4 linked regions of the Arabidopsis thaliana genome follow. The protein of the gene in region 3 interacts with the protein of the main gene of each other region in a pairwise test. Each region holds a gene or a part of one and is shown on either strand. Other genes may lie near its edges. The genes, in order: NAM, COR27, MYB49 and AT2G28060.

What was found.
Region 1: the proteins of MYB49 (region 3) and NAM interact in a two-hybrid assay, tested with the Arabidopsis thaliana proteins (one large-scale study listed by BioGRID).
Region 2: the proteins of MYB49 (region 3) and COR27 interact in a two-hybrid assay, tested with the Arabidopsis thaliana proteins (one large-scale study listed by BioGRID).
Region 4: the proteins of MYB49 (region 3) and AT2G28060 interact in a two-hybrid assay, tested with the Arabidopsis thaliana proteins (one large-scale study listed by BioGRID).

The regions. Positions count from the first base shown.
Region 1 is NC_003070.9:19,688,208-19,692,566, reverse strand, and holds NAM (NAC (No Apical Meristem) domain transcriptional regulator superfamily protein), read left to right. Parts: upstream 1-1,977; 5' UTR 1,978-2,136; coding exon 2,137-2,326; intron 2,327-2,423; coding exon 2,424-2,728; intron 2,729-2,814; coding exon 2,815-3,282; 3' UTR 3,283-3,859; downstream 3,860-4,359. UniProt on the Arabidopsis thaliana protein: May encode a transcription factor involved in the elaboration of shoot apical meristems (SAM).
Region 2 is NC_003076.8:17,197,107-17,201,795, forward strand, and holds COR27 (cold regulated protein 27), read right to left. Parts: upstream 2,688-4,689; 5' UTR 2,607-2,687; coding exon 2,499-2,606; intron 2,144-2,498; coding exon 1,961-2,143; intron 1,873-1,960; coding exon 1,587-1,872; intron 1,504-1,586; coding exon 1,397-1,503; intron 1,317-1,396; coding exon 1,260-1,316; 3' UTR 1,059-1,259; exon of another isoform or gene 813-1,058; intron 566-812; 3' UTR 535-565; downstream 1-534. Other genes in the region: AT5G42895 (ECA1 gametogenesis related family protein), read left to right, coding at 1-57; AT5G42905 (Polynucleotidyl transferase, ribonuclease H-like superfamily protein), read right to left, coding at 4,308-4,335, 4,469-4,689. UniProt on the Arabidopsis thaliana protein: Together with COR28, involved in central circadian clock regulation and in flowering promotion, by binding to the chromatin of clock-associated evening genes TOC1, PRR5, ELF4 and cold-responsive genes in order to repress their transcription.
Region 3 is NC_003076.8:22,015,595-22,019,610, forward strand, and holds MYB49 (myb domain protein 49), read right to left. Parts: upstream 2,468-4,016; 5' UTR 2,252-2,467; coding exon 2,119-2,251; intron 1,922-2,118; coding exon 1,792-1,921; intron 1,460-1,791; coding exon 763-1,459; 3' UTR 549-762; downstream 1-548.
Region 4 is NC_003071.7:11,949,362-11,954,001, reverse strand, and holds AT2G28060 (5'-AMP-activated protein kinase beta-2 subunit protein), read left to right. Parts: upstream 1-1,748; 5' UTR 1,749-1,959; exon of another isoform or gene 1,960-2,224; 5' UTR 2,225-2,306; intron 2,307-3,358; 5' UTR 3,359-3,383; coding exon 3,384-3,410; intron 3,411-3,510; coding exon 3,511-3,828; 3' UTR 3,829-4,131; downstream 4,132-4,640. UniProt on the Arabidopsis thaliana protein: Regulatory subunit of the probable trimeric SNF1-related protein kinase (SnRK) complex, which may play a role in a signal transduction cascade regulating gene expression and carbohydrate metabolism in higher plants.

The sequences.
Region 1 (4,359 bases), on a different chromosome or scaffold from region 3:
GCTGGCAAGCTGACGGTGGACAATATTTGCTGATCGTTCTAGTTTTCGATAGAAAACTCGTATTTATCGTTTGCATAAATATCTACTTTATTTGCACTAAGTCAAAGTTTAGTTTTTTTTACTTTTTAGTGACGAAAAAAAGTTCATAAGATCCGTTCATTGCCACCCTCAAATAATCCTTTCATTATCTCTTTATCTATTTGTATAGAAAATTAGTTTGTGAGAAAAACGCATCAGGTCTGATATATATATATAAACCAACGATTAAAGGTTTAAGAAATAATAAAAATTAGAGTGTGAAAATAATAAAATTTCGCATTACTCAAACAGTTGGTAATTCTTGCTTATATTGTTATGTAACTCATAACCAAAAATAGATATATTAAATAATATATTGTTATATATTAATTATCAAGATAATTAATTAATTTTTTGTTAATTGATGAATTTCTTTATAAAATTCCAATGGTCACAAAATACAAAGGGAATACAAAAGCGTGATATGACATTTGAAACGTAAAAAAGCTTTTTTGAATTTTCACTTTGTTGCCTTGTGTGGCACTTAAGCGGGTCCCATTTTACAGCTTGCCACGTGTCGACGTAATGTACTCAGAATAACACGGTACTATTGGAAGCATGCACCTTCAGTTATTTGTCCACACATGATAATCAAAAAAAAAAAGTGATACGTAGAAGTTTTTGCATTGGTAAAAAATATTTTAATTTATATTCTGTTTTCATTAAATTTTAAATTATTCTATTTTAAAGTATTTGTTTAACCGTTAAAAGGTAAAACTATATAGTATACCACTTAAGTTTAGGGATGATGAAAAAAACTACCACGTAAAACAATAATAAATCGGTTGGTTGAAACCTTGCAAGTTCCATGTAAATTTATTAAAGTATATATTATTTTAAAAATATTTTATAGATAAAAAAACTAAATTAATAGTGCCGTGCACTTTTCTTATATGATTTTTGTTATTATAATTTTTTTTAATTTTTTTATTATAACTTACTATAGAGACAAAAATATATATATGCTTATTGGATGAAAACAATCGCTATCGTTGTTAATGGTCGCTCGTGTCAAGCCACACTTTGAGCCTATATGAACACAGACGATAATGCATGGTTAAAGAGGTTAAGAAAGTCATTATCGACTCCGAAATCACTATTTTACCCTCCTTTGCCTTGGTTAGTATCGTAATTTAAAAAGATTCGACATGATTAGTCAGACTTTGTATATGTGTCGAATTGTCGCCACTCTTTATCTCCTTTTAGTACAAACCAAACCACACTAAACTCGGCTGAATTATGGGAGATTATGTATTATTATTGATTGCCAACAAATTCTAATATTCCGGGTCTAAAATAATAAAATATTATTTTTTGGGGTACAATTGTTAATTACAAACACTAATCTGAGATTAACAGTATTTTGTAGGTCAAACAAACTTTACAAAAAACAAATGGTTTTATCATCTTATGAATTGAAATCTACAGAAGATGAAAGATAAACTACGATTTAATTCTAGCTAAGTACATATAGATCAAATTAATTAGTGAAAAGGATCAACAAAGCAAATTAAATGTACTCTCTCATGATTCACGAAGATAAGATAGCATCATCTATTTTAATTTGAAATCAATGATAGAAATCTCTTTACCTACACCTTCCTACACATATGGGTCAAAACGTTTTTTTTTTGGTATGACATTTTATTCCTTTTTCCTGTTGCTAATCTACATATATAACTACATAGCGTACAGCTATACATATTAAATATATTAGATCTCTACAATAGGTTAAACTGTAACACAAACTATTGATTTAGATAGCTACGGTAATTAATACGTTTTGATCGTCCATATTCCACAAATATAAATAGAAATACCATTTGATGTGTAACAAAAAAATCTCATAGACATTTATGGTTTTAATACAAAAAAAATTCTCAAAAATTGTAAATAAATACGAGTGGATACGATGGTCTACGTACAAAAGATTCCAGAGGATAAAAGCCATTTTGATTTGTCGTTTTAATGCCTTCCATTTTTAAAAAGAAAGATTACTAACGCCGACTCTCTAAAACTCTCTCAAACCATAAAAAATATTCTCCGATCATCATTTTAATGGAGAGTACAGATTCTTCCGGTGGTCCTCCGCCGCCGCAACCAAACCTCCCTCCAGGATTCCGGTTTCATCCAACAGACGAAGAACTTGTAATTCATTACCTCAAACGCAAAGCAGATTCTGTTCCTTTACCAGTCGCGATCATCGCCGACGTTGATCTTTACAAATTTGATCCATGGGAACTTCCCGGTAAGTTGAAACAAGACCAAGATCATAATCCGATCAGATCTGTTTCATTTTTTTTTTTACTGATTTTTGTTTTTTTTTGTGTTCTTGATTGTGACAGCGAAAGCTTCGTTTGGAGAACAAGAATGGTATTTTTTCAGTCCAAGAGATCGGAAATATCCCAACGGAGCTAGACCTAACCGAGCTGCGACTTCCGGTTATTGGAAAGCGACTGGTACAGATAAACCGGTGATTTCAACCGGCGGTGGTGGTAGTAAAAAAGTGGGAGTTAAAAAGGCTCTAGTGTTTTACAGTGGTAAACCACCAAAAGGAGTTAAATCAGATTGGATTATGCATGAATATCGGTTAACTGATAATAAACCTACTCATATTTGTGACTTCGGCAACAAGAAAAACTCTCTCAGGGTATATTATTATAATATTCTTAAAATCTTGATTTTAAAAGAAAAGTTTTGATTGGCTAATTTTTGATTCTTTTTATTACTATGTAGCTTGATGATTGGGTGTTGTGTCGTATCTACAAGAAAAACAATAGTACAGCATCTAGACATCATCATCATCTTCATCATATTCATCTAGATAATGATCATCATCGTCATGATATGATGATTGATGATGATCGATTCCGTCATGTTCCTCCTGGTCTTCACTTCCCGGCGATTTTTTCTGACAATAATGATCCGACGGCTATATATGATGGTGGCGGCGGCGGATACGGAGGTGGAAGTTACTCGATGAATCATTGTTTCGCATCTGGATCAAAGCAGGAGCAGTTGTTTCCACCGGTGATGATGATGACTAGTCTAAATCAAGATTCCGGTATTGGATCGTCGTCGTCACCTAGCAAGAGATTTAACGGCGGCGGCGTTGGAGATTGTTCGACTTCTATGGCGGCGACGCCGTTAATGCAGAACCAAGGTGGGATTTACCAATTGCCTGGTTTGAATTGGTATTCTTGAAAACAATTTACGATGAAGAATTTTTAAAATTTGTGTATATATATACGGTTTGAGTGATTAGGGGGCATTGGGGGATTTATTTACGGTTGATTATTATTGTAGTGTTATAGAACTAAGGAGATTAAATTAAATAGATTGGAGGAGAGGTATAAGGTAACATATAGAAATTATACAACAATAGTTTAAATATTCTTTTCTTTTCTTTTTCATGTTATTATTTTTACTAATGTATAGGTGATGATTATACTTAGATGTTTGTAGCTTGTATAAATTAATGCATGCATATATATAAAAATATATTAACAGTTATAGAAACTAGATTACCCTTGTGCTTTTCTTCAGCTATTTATTTTCAGTACTATCAGCTTCAACATTCGCATGTTTTGCTGCAAATTTTATTTTTTAAAAACATGATTTTAAAGTGACATCAGAAATACTATTTGGTAGAAGACCCTAACTTATAAGAAACAGACGATAATGAAACTATCTGGCGGAGCTTTTATTTGACTTTGTCGAAAACATGTTCGGAACCAAATCTTGGCAATCAAAATAAGTGGAGATAAAAGATACGACAAAGGGCCTTCAAATCTGGTTTGAATCAATAGTTTTAAACTGAAAAGTTTTAATCTTTTTGTTAGATCAAACAAATGTTGCACTTGTTGTAAAAACAATGTTCAAAAAATAAATATGATGTTCATAATTAAATTCGAATCGAATACATGTAATGGACATCTTTAATCATTTTTTTTTTCTTTTCTTTTCATAATGATAAATACAAATTTGATGCTGAGTAGAATAATAAAAAACACAATATTACGTTTATATTAAACAAAAAAAGGCATACATATCCATCTCTTTATATTATATTTATACCATCCTTAACCAAATTTGATTTCCAAGAAAAGAGAAGCTATTCCCATGGCAAGTAATGAAGTTCAAGCTAATCAACTCGAAAGGCAGAATGCTACTGTCAGCGATGTGTTAGCCGATCCTCTATGCACATGTTGGTGAGTTCATAACACAATTTAATTACTAGTTTCCAAAATTTAGTGTCTCTCTAATATATATGTTCTTCTT
Region 2 (4,689 bases), 4.8 Mb from region 3:
ATGCTAAAGGAACAATGTTCAAGAATTGCTGGTGCAACTCCTCCGACACCAAAATAGAGCTTTAATATATTTTAAAAATATTTGTTTTTTTCTTTTTAATTTATTTTTTAAACTTTTAGCTTACTTTACATGTTATACTCAAAAAAAAAAAAAAACATGATGATACATTAATAAAAGAGTCATATTTGTATTCAAAATTTACTCATTCTTTAAATCTGATGAATAACAATTTGAAACATTGAGTCCATACTTAATTTAGCCTTGCAATGTTCAGAACTTAAAATTGTTTTCATAAATCTTTTAAATATGTCGTAACACAAAATCTATGAACGATTATTAAATTGACTAGTTAATGTCCGATAAATAGGAGGTGTGAAAAATAAATAAATTTTCTTTTTCTGATACTTAGATTCTAAATAATAATCTATATATTTTAAAAAATCAAATTTCAATTTTATACATTCGAAACCAAATTTTTACTTATGTTTTGAATATATTAACTTTTTTGGTAAAATTACTTTAATAGTTTACTATATTAAAATAAAAATTTGAATATATAAACAACCTATATATTTTATTTTTCCGATATGGTTAAAAAATGTTTTCTATTTTTGGTGTTAAATATAACAAACCCAACTTTGTATAATAATAAGAAAAAAATATAACTTTATCATCAAAGTCAACCCACTAACATAGTGGGCTGATTCAACTTAATGGCCCAAAGCACTCTTCTCCCTCACTCTCGCGATCGACTCTTCTGAGACACCTTCTTCTTCTCTTCTTCTCTTTTTTTTTTTTTTTTTTTTTTTGATCCTCTTCACTTTCTTTTCTCATTCCTAGATTCTTCTTCGAAATTAATCAAGGTTTGATTCCAACACATACACAACCCTTAGCCAATTAGCTTTATCCAAACAACACCGTTTGTATAATAACCGGCTCAATTATTTTTTATTATCTTTTACCTTTATTCGACCACCATTTTTATTGTATGGGCAACATAAAAGAAAATTAAGGAACTTGAAATTTTATACTATAGTGGTAACAAGACAACACTAAACCATCAAATACTAATTTGACGTCTTTCTAAGGGTTTTACAGTACAAATGAATCCACTCACATGAGCATATAAATATATTTATAGTTAGGGATATATGATGAAGAAACTTGTAACTAAGGATAGTAAATTTGACTTATAAGTTATGCAAATATATATACATTACAAAATTCTCTCCTCATATAAAGCTTCACCATCTGACCTCTCAAGAAACAGACTTCAAATTTACGTCATGTTGCAAGAGTTTATTGAGTGGAACAACCTATGCCAAGGAAACATTTTGGATCAATAACTCACCACATTCACTAATATGATCAAACTAATAGTGGAGGAAGAAGTTACCTGATCGGTACTCGACGATTCACTCATCATCACCGTCTTCATCTTCTTCGAGCTTCCGTTTTCGCCTTTTATTCCTTCGTTAACAAAGTTCTGATCCGATACCTCTGCTTTAAAACATCACAAGACAAATTTAGAATAGAAACAACATATCTAAACAGAGGAAAGAAACACATTTTTGATAAACTAATACCTTCTCCAACGCTGATTTGGTCGTGGTCACGCGAATGAGAGCTTAGCTGCTTGAGACTAGAGGCTGAGCCAGAGCTGCATATTCCCTTCTTCCCATTAGAGCTGCTAACAACTTGATTTTCGGGCTCATCCGTTACCGGGATTTGTGTCTTTACTAAAGGTTTATAATGCTTAATCCATGGACTCCTAAGAAACTCATGAGAATTACCACCGTGCCTTCCGTTAATCCGATGTTCAGGTTGTTTCACATTAATCTTCTGCCAGAAACCATCATGAAGAACCTTGAACTGATACCATAAACATACATTTCAATGATCCCAAAATCTTCTTAACACTATAACATCATCATCATCTATTAAAAAAAAAGTGTCATACCTGTTCTTGAGACGGTTTTCTACCGCTACCGAACCTCGTTGATTCGGATACATTCTCGTTCTTCCCGAGAGCTCCGAGCGAGTTATATAACTGATCTACGAATGAAGCTTCCATAGATTTAAGATATAAACTATGCTTCTCATTAGTCCATTCTGTTTCCATATACTCTTTCCCCGCAGAGTACTACACCAAAGTTCACAAAAATGATTTTGTTACAAAGTTGTCATTACACAGCTCAGAATCCTTATGTAGATATCAAATCTATAAACATCTAATTATCTCTTCAATCGCAAAGAAGCAACCAAATTCATCAACAAGACAAATATCGAACAATTTATGTTCATTAGTGTAAATAAACTCTTTCGTTTACTTCACAATAATCAACAATAAACGCACTAATTCCATCAAAAACGTTAAATCGCCGTAAAAATTCAGATCTGAGCAGCGAACACGACGGAGATTCCGATTCCGGCGAGGAAAAACAGACATGCAAAAATATCAATGAAAAAGAAAGAAAACATGGAATATGTATAAATACCATGGAAGAAGTGGTCTCTCCCTCCACGGAAGAAGCATCGTCGGAAGAATCGTCAGAGTCATCGGAGAAACGACGGCTACTAAAGCGTCCTCTGTAATCACCAACCATTGTTGGCTTATCTTTGTGGAGAGAGAGAGAGAAGAAGAAGAAAATGAAAAATATCAGAGAGAAAGAGAGAAACAAAATATCAAAAGAAACGATACAGTTGTAGACGCTTTTACACGTGGGTAAAGTTGCCACGTCATCACCAGTCAATTTGGCGGAATGAAGAGATGAAACTTTTTGGTTTTAGATATTTCAAACACAAAAAATATCAAAGATATTTTCTTCAACTGCAAAATATCTTCCACCGTCCTCTTCTCCTCTCTCTTGATTATTCTTTCTTTTTTTCTTTTTTGTTGCTTTTGGTTTAACTTCTCTGACTTTTTTTTTTTGTTTATGATATTTTCTCTTTTTAATCAATGGAAAGTAGACAACTCATTCTTAGATATTTATAAATAATTTTATAGATTGCCTTTTTTAAGACGGCATTTTAGGATTATTTATTGGGACGATTCACTTTTCTTATTAGAATAATTGTACCACATGCAATGAGGATTAACGATGATTATGAAAATAGAAATAAATTGACTATTACATGTCTCTTTTGGAAGAGTGTTTTTTTTTTCCCGAGACATTTTTTGTTTTATGAACTGATTTATATGATTTTATTTTTATCATTTAGCTAGTTAGGGTGGAATTAATATGTGATTATTTCATGTATTATGTGAATTTCTAATTTATCAAATTATTCTTCTTTTCATCATATGTAAATATATTATTTATAGTGTTATATTATATTTACCATGTCAAAATATTCATTCACGTGAATATTAAATAATGAGATTGTAAACGTAAAGTTTAATAAACTTTTGCGCTAAATTCTACCTAAAAATAAATTTTGAATACTTATAAATAGGTATATTCAATTTTTCTGTTTAAGAGAAATGGTAAAATATTAAAGTGGAGACATAATCTTAGGGAATTGAAAAGTAAAAAAAAAGCTTACAGTTTAGTTTTAAGATAGATCTATGATTTTCAAGAAAGGTTATACAAATGATCAGTTTGGATCAATATACTCTACCATGTAAGATTCTATGAATTATAAATTACCCATTTAACCATTTTAACTTATCCAAATAATAAAAAATACTTAAATACTCAGTAATCTTAAGAAACAGGAAAACTCCTTCAATTTTAGTTTAAGATAGATATACATCTTTTCAAGAAAGGTTACACCAATGATGAGTTTGAATAAAAATAATTTACTCTACCTTGTAAGAGAAGGGTGAGTAATTATGTGAATATACAAATTAATAAATTGTAAATATGTCTTCTATCGTAGTGCTTATTGATTGTTGTAACTCTTTGCAAAATATTTATTTAAGACTTTTAATTATATGAAATAATTTAAATTTTAGAAAATTGTATTTCTTTTTTATAAATTTTTATCTATACATTTTCAGTTAAGGTTTTGTTTTTCTCCTTAAGTTTTACTTTTGCTCTAATTTTCCTATCACAACTCTTCGTTATAGATGGTTGTGTACAAATTACAATTAAGTATTTTAAGAATGCGTATCTTTATCTTAACTCTTCTTAAATAAATTTTTATTTTATAATATTTTAAAAATTGTATATATTTATTATTAATTTTTTGTTCGATATTTTTTTTATAAAATTATGTCCAGTCTTTTTTTGGTAAGTGACCGGGAGACAATTGCCTCCCGTGATTTATTAAGAAACTAAAGAAAAGTTACAAACGAACTCGCCTTAGTTGAGTAGACCCAAGAGTATCCTCCTTCAACAAAGATGACATCGCATCGGGAACAAAATCAAAAGAATGAAAGCCTAAAGATAACAAAATTGTATAGTTTGCTAATCCGTCCGCAAGACAATTAGCTTCTCTATACACGTAAACAATTCGGACCAACCAGTCTTTCTGTAGAAAGTTGTGGCACAACCGCACCAGGAATGACAGCGGATGAGAGTCACTAATCCCTGTTTTGAGGAAACCCACTATCGCCTCTGAATCCACCTCCAACTCCACTCGAGGCACCTTCTTCTCCCATGCGAAATACAATCCGTAATACACTCCCCATAGCTCTGCATGTTGAGCTGAGCATCGGCCTATATTTAGAGAAAAGCCACCACA
Region 3 (4,016 bases):
AACAACGTTGACTATATATTTTCTATTTTAATCTTTCATACACATTTTCTCATAGTGGATAACTATTTAAATCTTCCTTTTAGGTGTATTACTATTTATTTGTGCTGATTTCAAACCAATCATAAGGGAAAACAAGTCGATTATTTCTTTTTTCTTGTATTATGAAATTGAAAACTCCCCTTTATGAGTCTATGACCAATTAAATATAATCACTATTGTCTCCTGCTCCACCAAATGTGTTCTTAATCATCAAAATCAAGATGGTGCAAATAGAATAATAAAACTATAACACCAGAAAATTTTCGTACAAGTTGAAGACCTTTTAGGTATAACGAATGGAAAGTTCTTCGAATTGGAAAATAAGAACAATTAGTGGAAGAAAATGCACAAGAAATCCAAGATTAAGAATACACTTAACTCTTAAAATACTAAGTATGTACGTAACACACTTATCAACCATCTTATGACCTTTTGAGAGTCGACTAATGTAAAGTTCTTCGAAGCAGAAAAAACAATTAGTAGAAGAACAAAGTCAAGATAAAGGTACACTAGCTGTTATCCTCTTAGGTTTTATAACTTTTTTAAGTGTAAACAAATAGAAACCTTTTCGGATCAAAAAAAGTAGAACAAAAAAAAAAAAAAGAGTCAACATAATAATAGACTAAGCTCTTATATTACAAAGTATGTAACACAATTACAAACCCCCATTAAAAAAAAGTAAAAATAAAACAAATAAGATCAAGAAGCAAAATAAATAAGACATTATGATAGATTCAAAGCATTATTATTATGATCATGATGATGATGAAACATCAACATGTCGCTACCAAAACTCTCTCTATCATCTTCGCTTCCACCATTGACATAAAAAGTCGAAGACGAATTCAACGGTGTCGAGCTGCTCGATGAAGTTCCCGCTAGCATTGATGAACTGAAATTCCATCCGGCCTTAAAATTCTCACCATCATTAATGTGGTCGGATACAAATGCGGCTGATGAGTAGTTTCCGGCTTGAGGGACTTTGTTATTAGATGGATCACCTGTACCGGTATAACTGTGATAATCTCCCAAGTATTCTCCATTGTTTTGCCATTGAACGGGTGGTGTTGAGTTGAGCAAACCGGTGAAAGTGGTTTGGTCAGTGTTTAGGTCGTTTTGAAGCTGTTGGTTTGGTTGGTATGATTCGGTCTGAACGTTGTTGAGAGAGGCAGTGAGATGATTCAAGATATCAGGATTAATATTTGAAGTAGTGAGATCAAATGGAGTATTCATCGGTTGTGACATAGATTTAAACAATGATGAGGTAAGAAACGAAGAGAGCTGGAGAAGATTAATGCGGGGACAATGAGTCACCGGATCAATCCCCATTCGTAAGAGTTTCTTTTTAATATGTGTGTTCCAATAGTTTTTGATTTCATTATCTGTTCTTCCTGGTAAGTGAATAGCAATTGCGGACCATCTATAGAAGAAAAAATATCGTGTTATAGATTTTAAGTTAAAATCAAAAAGAGAAGTATAAGTTTTAACTTGTTAAGATATTAGCTGCAGCGAGTTGAAGATTGCATGCTTAGCTTTAGACATTTGACCTTGGTATAGTGCTTAACTATGTTCTTGTCTTTTAGTTGAATAAAATAAAATATGCAAGTAATATTATAACAAAAATGTAAAGACATGGAAGTCCAATGAAGTAGGTGTAGTAGTGGAAAACTAGGTCATTTTTTACTTAATTTAATCATACATGTAAACAATTATACACTAAATGAAGAAATGAAAAATTGCAGATAGACTAACTTGTTTCCAAGAAGACGATGAAGTTGAATGATGGTTTCTTCCTCTTGAAGAGAGAACTCTCCTCTCTTGATATCGGGTCTTAGATAATTCGTCCATCGCAATCTACAACTCTTCCCGCATCTTTTTAACCCTTTTAAGATTCACACCAAGAAAAACGAATAAGAACCATGATTGTTTTAATTTTAATTCTAACGTTGACATGATCTAGCATGATAATCATTATTAGTAAATTTTAAACATAAACGTAAAACAAAACGCAGGAAAACATATTGTAGCTGATAGGATTTAGCTATTTGTATATATACATGCGTTAGGGTAGGAATTTACCGGCGTTCTTGGGAAGGGTACGCCATTTGCCGGGACCGTGCGTTTGAATATAGCCTACGAGCTTCTCGTCTTCCTCCGGAGTCCATGGCCCTTTCTTCACTTCACTTTCCTCCGAGCTTGAAGATTTTCCCATCTTTTTCAAATGTTATATGTGAGAGAACTAGAGAGAGAAGCTAATAAGCTTTGAGAACTTGATTACAGAGAAAATTTGGTTTCTTCATGAATTATGATTTATGTATATACAAATATATATATGGTACATGCAAAGTCAAGTCAAGGAGATTTGGTACCGCCCTTCCATCATCTATCTAAATACGTGTCTTTTCTTGATGAAATACGGAGACAAAATGAAGTAGAAAAAAACTGCTTATTATGTTGACAAAACAAAAGAGTAATTTTTACTCTCTATCTTTAAAGTCCTTACTAACAAACAAAAAGCTCTGACCAAAGAAAAAAAGTAATAAACAAAAAGCATGAGACTAAACCATCTCTATTAACCCTAAAAATAATTAATATTGATGGAGTGAGAACACATGGCAGAATATGGGTGGTGTATGAGGACGTGTGATAGATATGTGAAGAAGGTTCCATTTGTTTTGGTCTCTTTGTCTCAAATCATCAAACAGTTTTCAAGATAGCTATGTTGCGTGTATGTTTAATGTTTACTCATCTGTCATCACTATAGCAATATCATATACATAAATAGACAGATTCAAAATAAGAATTTTATTGAATAAGGTGTGGTTACAGTGATTATACTGAATAAATATGCTTATTTAGCCTTCTAAGTTTTGTATACAAATAATTTCTCTTCTAAGGAGAAAATAAAAAGGAAATATGTAAAGAATGATTACGATAGTGTAAAAAAGTAAAAACAATAAAAATCCAAACGGATCTCCAGTGTGCTTCATCGGTTGGAAATAGATATATATCATCGTGTCATCAAATTTCAGTAGCAAAGCTAGATTGTCCTGCTTGAATTAAGACATCCGATCGAAGTGACTCAGTTTGAGTAACGTCCTGCATCGCACCAGAGTTTCTGTTTACTTCAATAACAATTACATAACGACAAGTTTGAATAACTGATAATCTAAGACATGTATTTTGTTTTTACTAAGTTAGGTAAATTAACGACAAAGCGTTGTTGCAGTGCAACATACGTAAAGAACAAGGCATGTTAACGGTCAAAATACATGTGTGATTAATGAAACAATACTATATAATATACATGTGTCATTGAATTGCAGAGACTTTGGTCTCAGTCCGAAACATGGTTGATTTGACAAGTCAGGGATTTGAAATTTTTTGATTTGATATTTGTAAGAAATTATTACTATTTTAGTTAAATTTGGTTAGTATAAGTTTTAGATTATTTGGAAAACAAGTTATCGGCCGGTTTAAGAGTGATTATATAGAAAGGTTTGGTATTAGAGAAGAATGATAAAGTGACTTTTTAAATTAGGAGAATGACCAATTTATCATTGTTTAGTGCATAGGCGTATTTGACAAGTAACCCCTTGCTCTTGTTACATGTTAAATATTATTGTGTCATATAAAGAGGTAAAATTAATTCTACACTTTATGCGGTATAGCCGTATAAAACATGTTAGGTTGATAATAAACAAGTTATCATAACGTTTTCAACAAGTGCCAAAAATATAAACTTACACTAACACTAAACCGTATATATCGTTTTTTTTAATATAATATTATTTCTATAACATCGATATATCTAGTAAATAGTTATTTTGCGTCCATATAATTCATATTTTTCGTTATATAACAATGAAATGAGTGTTTTTCCACGGTATAGAATATTTTACATGTAAACTTTAAATCATATCATTGTCTCACAGGGAATTGATTCATGAAGGTAAATTTTGTGATGCATGTTTTAA
Region 4 (4,640 bases), on a different chromosome or scaffold from region 3:
AATGATAATGTGAGGGATATATAAGTGGGAGGAGATATACACTGGTTTAGGGTTAAAGTTCATAAATGGGCTCGTGAGTGATGGCTGGAAACATAAGAGAGAAGAGTAAGTAGGAGAGGACAGAGGCAAAATGGCTGGAAAATGGTATTAATCAAAATACGATTTTATATGTGTGATAGAGATACAAAAAAGTGTTGATGGGGTCGGGAAGATCAGAAAGAGGTAGGAAAGTCCGTGAGTTTCAGAAATTACAATCAAAGATCAAACATTTGTCTTTGCATTTATGAATTATGACACACTCACACGCAATTTTCTATATTTTCAAACTATTGTTTCTCTTGTTTTAAAATGGTTTGGAGATTGGACATGGATTTTTAAATATATATATTATTATGTACACGGTTGCATGGGTTTTCGGGACTATTGGATTTTGCTTTCTTTTGGATAACAAAAACACGATAAATATTTCATTAAACCATACAAATCTTCGATTGATAAATACATATACGAAAACATACCTAAGGAAAAGGAATCCATTGTTGTAGGATTTAGGTACCATGCGGTTTTCCAAACCATAGAGTAATCTCATATGTATTGAAATTTAAAAAAAAAAAAATACAAAGAAGAACTAAAAAACAGAAAAAAAAAACTAAGAAAATAGGGAAATTAAGTTGGAGTCTCTTTAATTTGTTTTTTTTTTGTCATCTAGAGTTATTTTAATGTTACCATGATGAAATACTTGATAAAATACAACATTAAACCGAAAGAAAACGAGATTTTTTCGAAGTTTAAGCCCTAAGTAAAAAAGTCATAAATAATACTACAAAGCAAGAGGAAAAAAGCAATAGTAGTTGAAATCCCACCAAAACTATAAGTCGCATAGTTCTTGAAGATTATTTGAAAGAAAAGTATCGCGGATGCCCACCACCAACCAACGATACACAAGTCCTCCTATTGAGATGAACAACAACCTTCAGATTTCAGAATTTTTAAGCTTTATAACCTGATAACCACTGCCCAAACTTTCTTTCGTATGTGGTGATGTCATAAATCGACAAGAAACAATAAACATTAAGATTATGTGCCTTCATTGGATCATGGACTGAAAATTAAGCTCTTCGATCAACTAAAACAAATTTATCATCATTGTTTTCATACTCGCTGCTAAGTTTGCAGGGGAGTATTAGAGTCCACAACTAAAACAAGTCCAAACCCAATGTGAGGTCTACATAAGTAGAATTTTAACAAGTTAGAAGATTCATATAAACAATTATGTAATGAGAACTATGATTGTAACTTTGAGAGAACTCTCTTCCTTCATCTTATGAAATATCAAATCTAGAAACATTGGCTTTTGGTGACAAACCTTAAGCTCCTTTACATTTTTCTCTTCTTTACATTTCAATAAAGCTCACTAGAACTATTGCATTTCTATCTTTATATAATAAGCTCAATGAACATCAATCTATATTTGTCTTAAAAATGTCAAATAAATAGAAGTTTCATGAAAGGACCAGACCTCGATCAAGTCTGAGAAGCATAGACAAGGAGTGAAGATTTAGTCTCGATAACACCATTCTTAAGAGACGAAAAAAGGTAAAAGATCGAATCGCATAGAATCAAAGAAATCTTCACATATTCAGAGGAAAAACAGCATGTCTAGCGAACACTAGAGTCGAACAAAAGCAAACCACCAATCACACATCCTTATTTGTCAATTATTTATTTTGGAAACTAAAAAGAAAGTTAATGAGTAAAATAGTTTCCATAAGAAGAAAAAAAATGTTTTCTGAGGAAAGAAAATGTTTTCGAAGGACAGCAAAGTTTAAGCCAATAAGCAAAACAAAAGCTGATGCTTGTCGCGACTGTGTTCGTCAAGAATCTCCAGGACGAACCCAATCTTCTCTCTCGAAGCTGTCTAAAATTAATCAATCAATCATTGAGCTAATCATATTCTAGGTTAAGTAAAAACAGAGTAAACCCTCTCTTTTTTTCTCTTTCTCTGCCTTTCTCAATTTCGTTTCGTCTCCTTCGTTCTTCCAATTTCCGTCTGATTTTATACGAAATTTGCATTGATATCGAAGTAAAATCGAATACCCATGATTCAAAATTTCATTTTTTATGCGACTGATTCCTCAATTTTGATTTTCCGGTGATTTCTAGGGTTTTCTATTAGGTGGGTGTTATTTATCATTTGATGGGTCATTTACTGATGATTTTGCAGGTTTTTGTTTTAAGGATTTGTGTAGACTTTCATTGCTGCTACGTTTTTGAAAGGGTAATTTGAAGGGCTTAGCTTCCCAAAGGTGAGAATTTTAACTCCAGTTTGGCTTCTGATATTGTGTTCATTGTTATGTATTTTTAAGCTTAGTAGTTGTGTTTTAAAGTTGTTCCAGTTTGGTTGATAAGTGTGTATGTGTGTTCATCAGATTGGGTGAGTACAGTTCTTTCATTGATATCTCCAGTTGATTTGTGGGAATTTTGTTCTGTGTGTATAGGATTTAGACCTCAAATATTGGATTCTCTTTAAGCATTTAAGTGCCTGGTTTCTTCATCATCACTTGATAGGAGGACTTTACAAATTTTATTCTGAACATGGAATTTGGTTAGCCGAATAACTTCGTGGGGATTAGTTTCTCGTGCAAGGAAATTCTTCATGGTTCTGTCTTGGAAGTGTTTGGAATCTTGAAGCTTGATAGATTTTCGATGTAGGCATGATGCGGTTTTCTTATAGGTTTAAAGGGTCTTTAGCTGAGATATGGTTCCTATGGTGTGTAATAGGTTTAAAGGGTCTTTAGATGAGATAAAACTGTGCAAAGAGTTCATATAATAAATGGTTAAATCCTATATATTATCTGTTCAGTGTACATAGAGAAGAATTAGCTGTGGAATTTGGATGTACATGATAATAACAATGTAGTTTATGTCTTCCAACTTGTCTCTGTTGTGATAATGATCAATGTGTTTCTATTCTAACTCCTGTGGTCCATTGATTTTTGAATCCTTTGTCCACCTTAGTACTTTCTTCGAAGAAGGCATGGGAAAATATGATTCTCTGGTCCAACTTTCTTAAGACTGTCTGCATCTTTGGATCCTTAGATTTGTCTACGGGATTATGAATTATTTGACTTTTGATACCGATTAGACAAAAGTCTTACATTTCACACAAATAAGAGTTTGCATCATTGTAGAGAACAACATTGTTTTCATTTCTGCTTCAGTGTTTTTGAGTTGAAATGTAAACACCTCTTTCTCTTAGATTAGTTTGAATGGCACTTGAGCTGGTGTGACCTACATTCATTTTGATTGTTTACTTTGCATGCTATTGCGGTTTAGTTATGATTATATTTTGTTTCAGGCACTAGGTGGCAATCTTATCCAAGATGAACAGTCAAAATCCTGATGATCATGTAAGCCAGCTAAAACACCTTTTTGCCTTCAACCAACTAATCGAGTAATTTCCAGTCTCCCGCTCGATTTTTCAATCTTTTATCGTTTTCTTAAACATAGGAGGACACAACGGTTGTGGGATTTGAAGTACCTGTATCACCGGTTTCAAGTTACAACAATGTGTATTCCTCAACCGAAGATGAGACAAGAGATCCTCCAGCAGTACCGCCACACCTTCAACACTCTCTATTAGGCAATCAGGGTAGCATGGAACTGGCTTATGCGCCACAGAATGTTGTCCTGAACCACCTCTATATCGAGAACCGAGACGCCCCAAGATCTGTTGTAGCACTCGGTTTCTCGCATCGGTTCAGGACTAAGTTTGTCACTGTGGTGATATACAAGCCTGTCCAAAGAAGAGGGAGCGCCAATGTTTGAATAATGATACCTCTTTTTAAGTAGTGTTGGGAATTTGCTTCTTTATGGATTGAATTTGGTATACAAAACCATCTGGTCCGTACTGAATTTTATTCTTCTCTTACAGATTCGATTTAGACGGTTTCTAGGTACATTCGATTGAAATCATCTTCTTGTTCGGAGTTTATATAAAATCTCCATGCATTTTTATTTTTTAGGCCCAAAAAAGCTGATAGACGTGGGCATTGTTTGTTTGTAATAACTCCCTTAGATTGGGTTTAGTTAAACGAGCCCAAATATCGCTAATGAAGTTCTTTACTTGCTCATATGTAGTGTTACCATAAATTATTTAAATCTTTCGTAGCTCCAAAAAGGAAAAAAAAAAAAAAAAATCTTAATCAAAACTTTCTATGTCCGAGATAAGTTACCAAACTAATGCTCTAAAACTGGATTGGATCGTCGGATCAATGCATTAGTCTAAAACTGGATTGGATCGTCGGATCATTGCATTAGTTCGGTTTGAATGTAGATCACTTATACTCTCGTTGTTTTTAATTAAGTGTAGTTTTAAGGTTTTTTATTTTTTTTTAATATAAGTGTTGTTTTCACTTTTCTATGCAAACATTAAATGTATTTAATAATTTTTAATTAATTATATTTTTTTACTGGTTGGATTAGTTGTAATTAATGATGTTTTTATAGGAAAAAGATAAATTAAATAAAATTTGTATGTTTTCTTAATTTGTGTGCAAAAACTTTAAACTACAAATATTCAGTAACAGAGGGAGTATATAAAAACAAAGTTGGTTTGTGCATGGGAGCTTATTTGCACA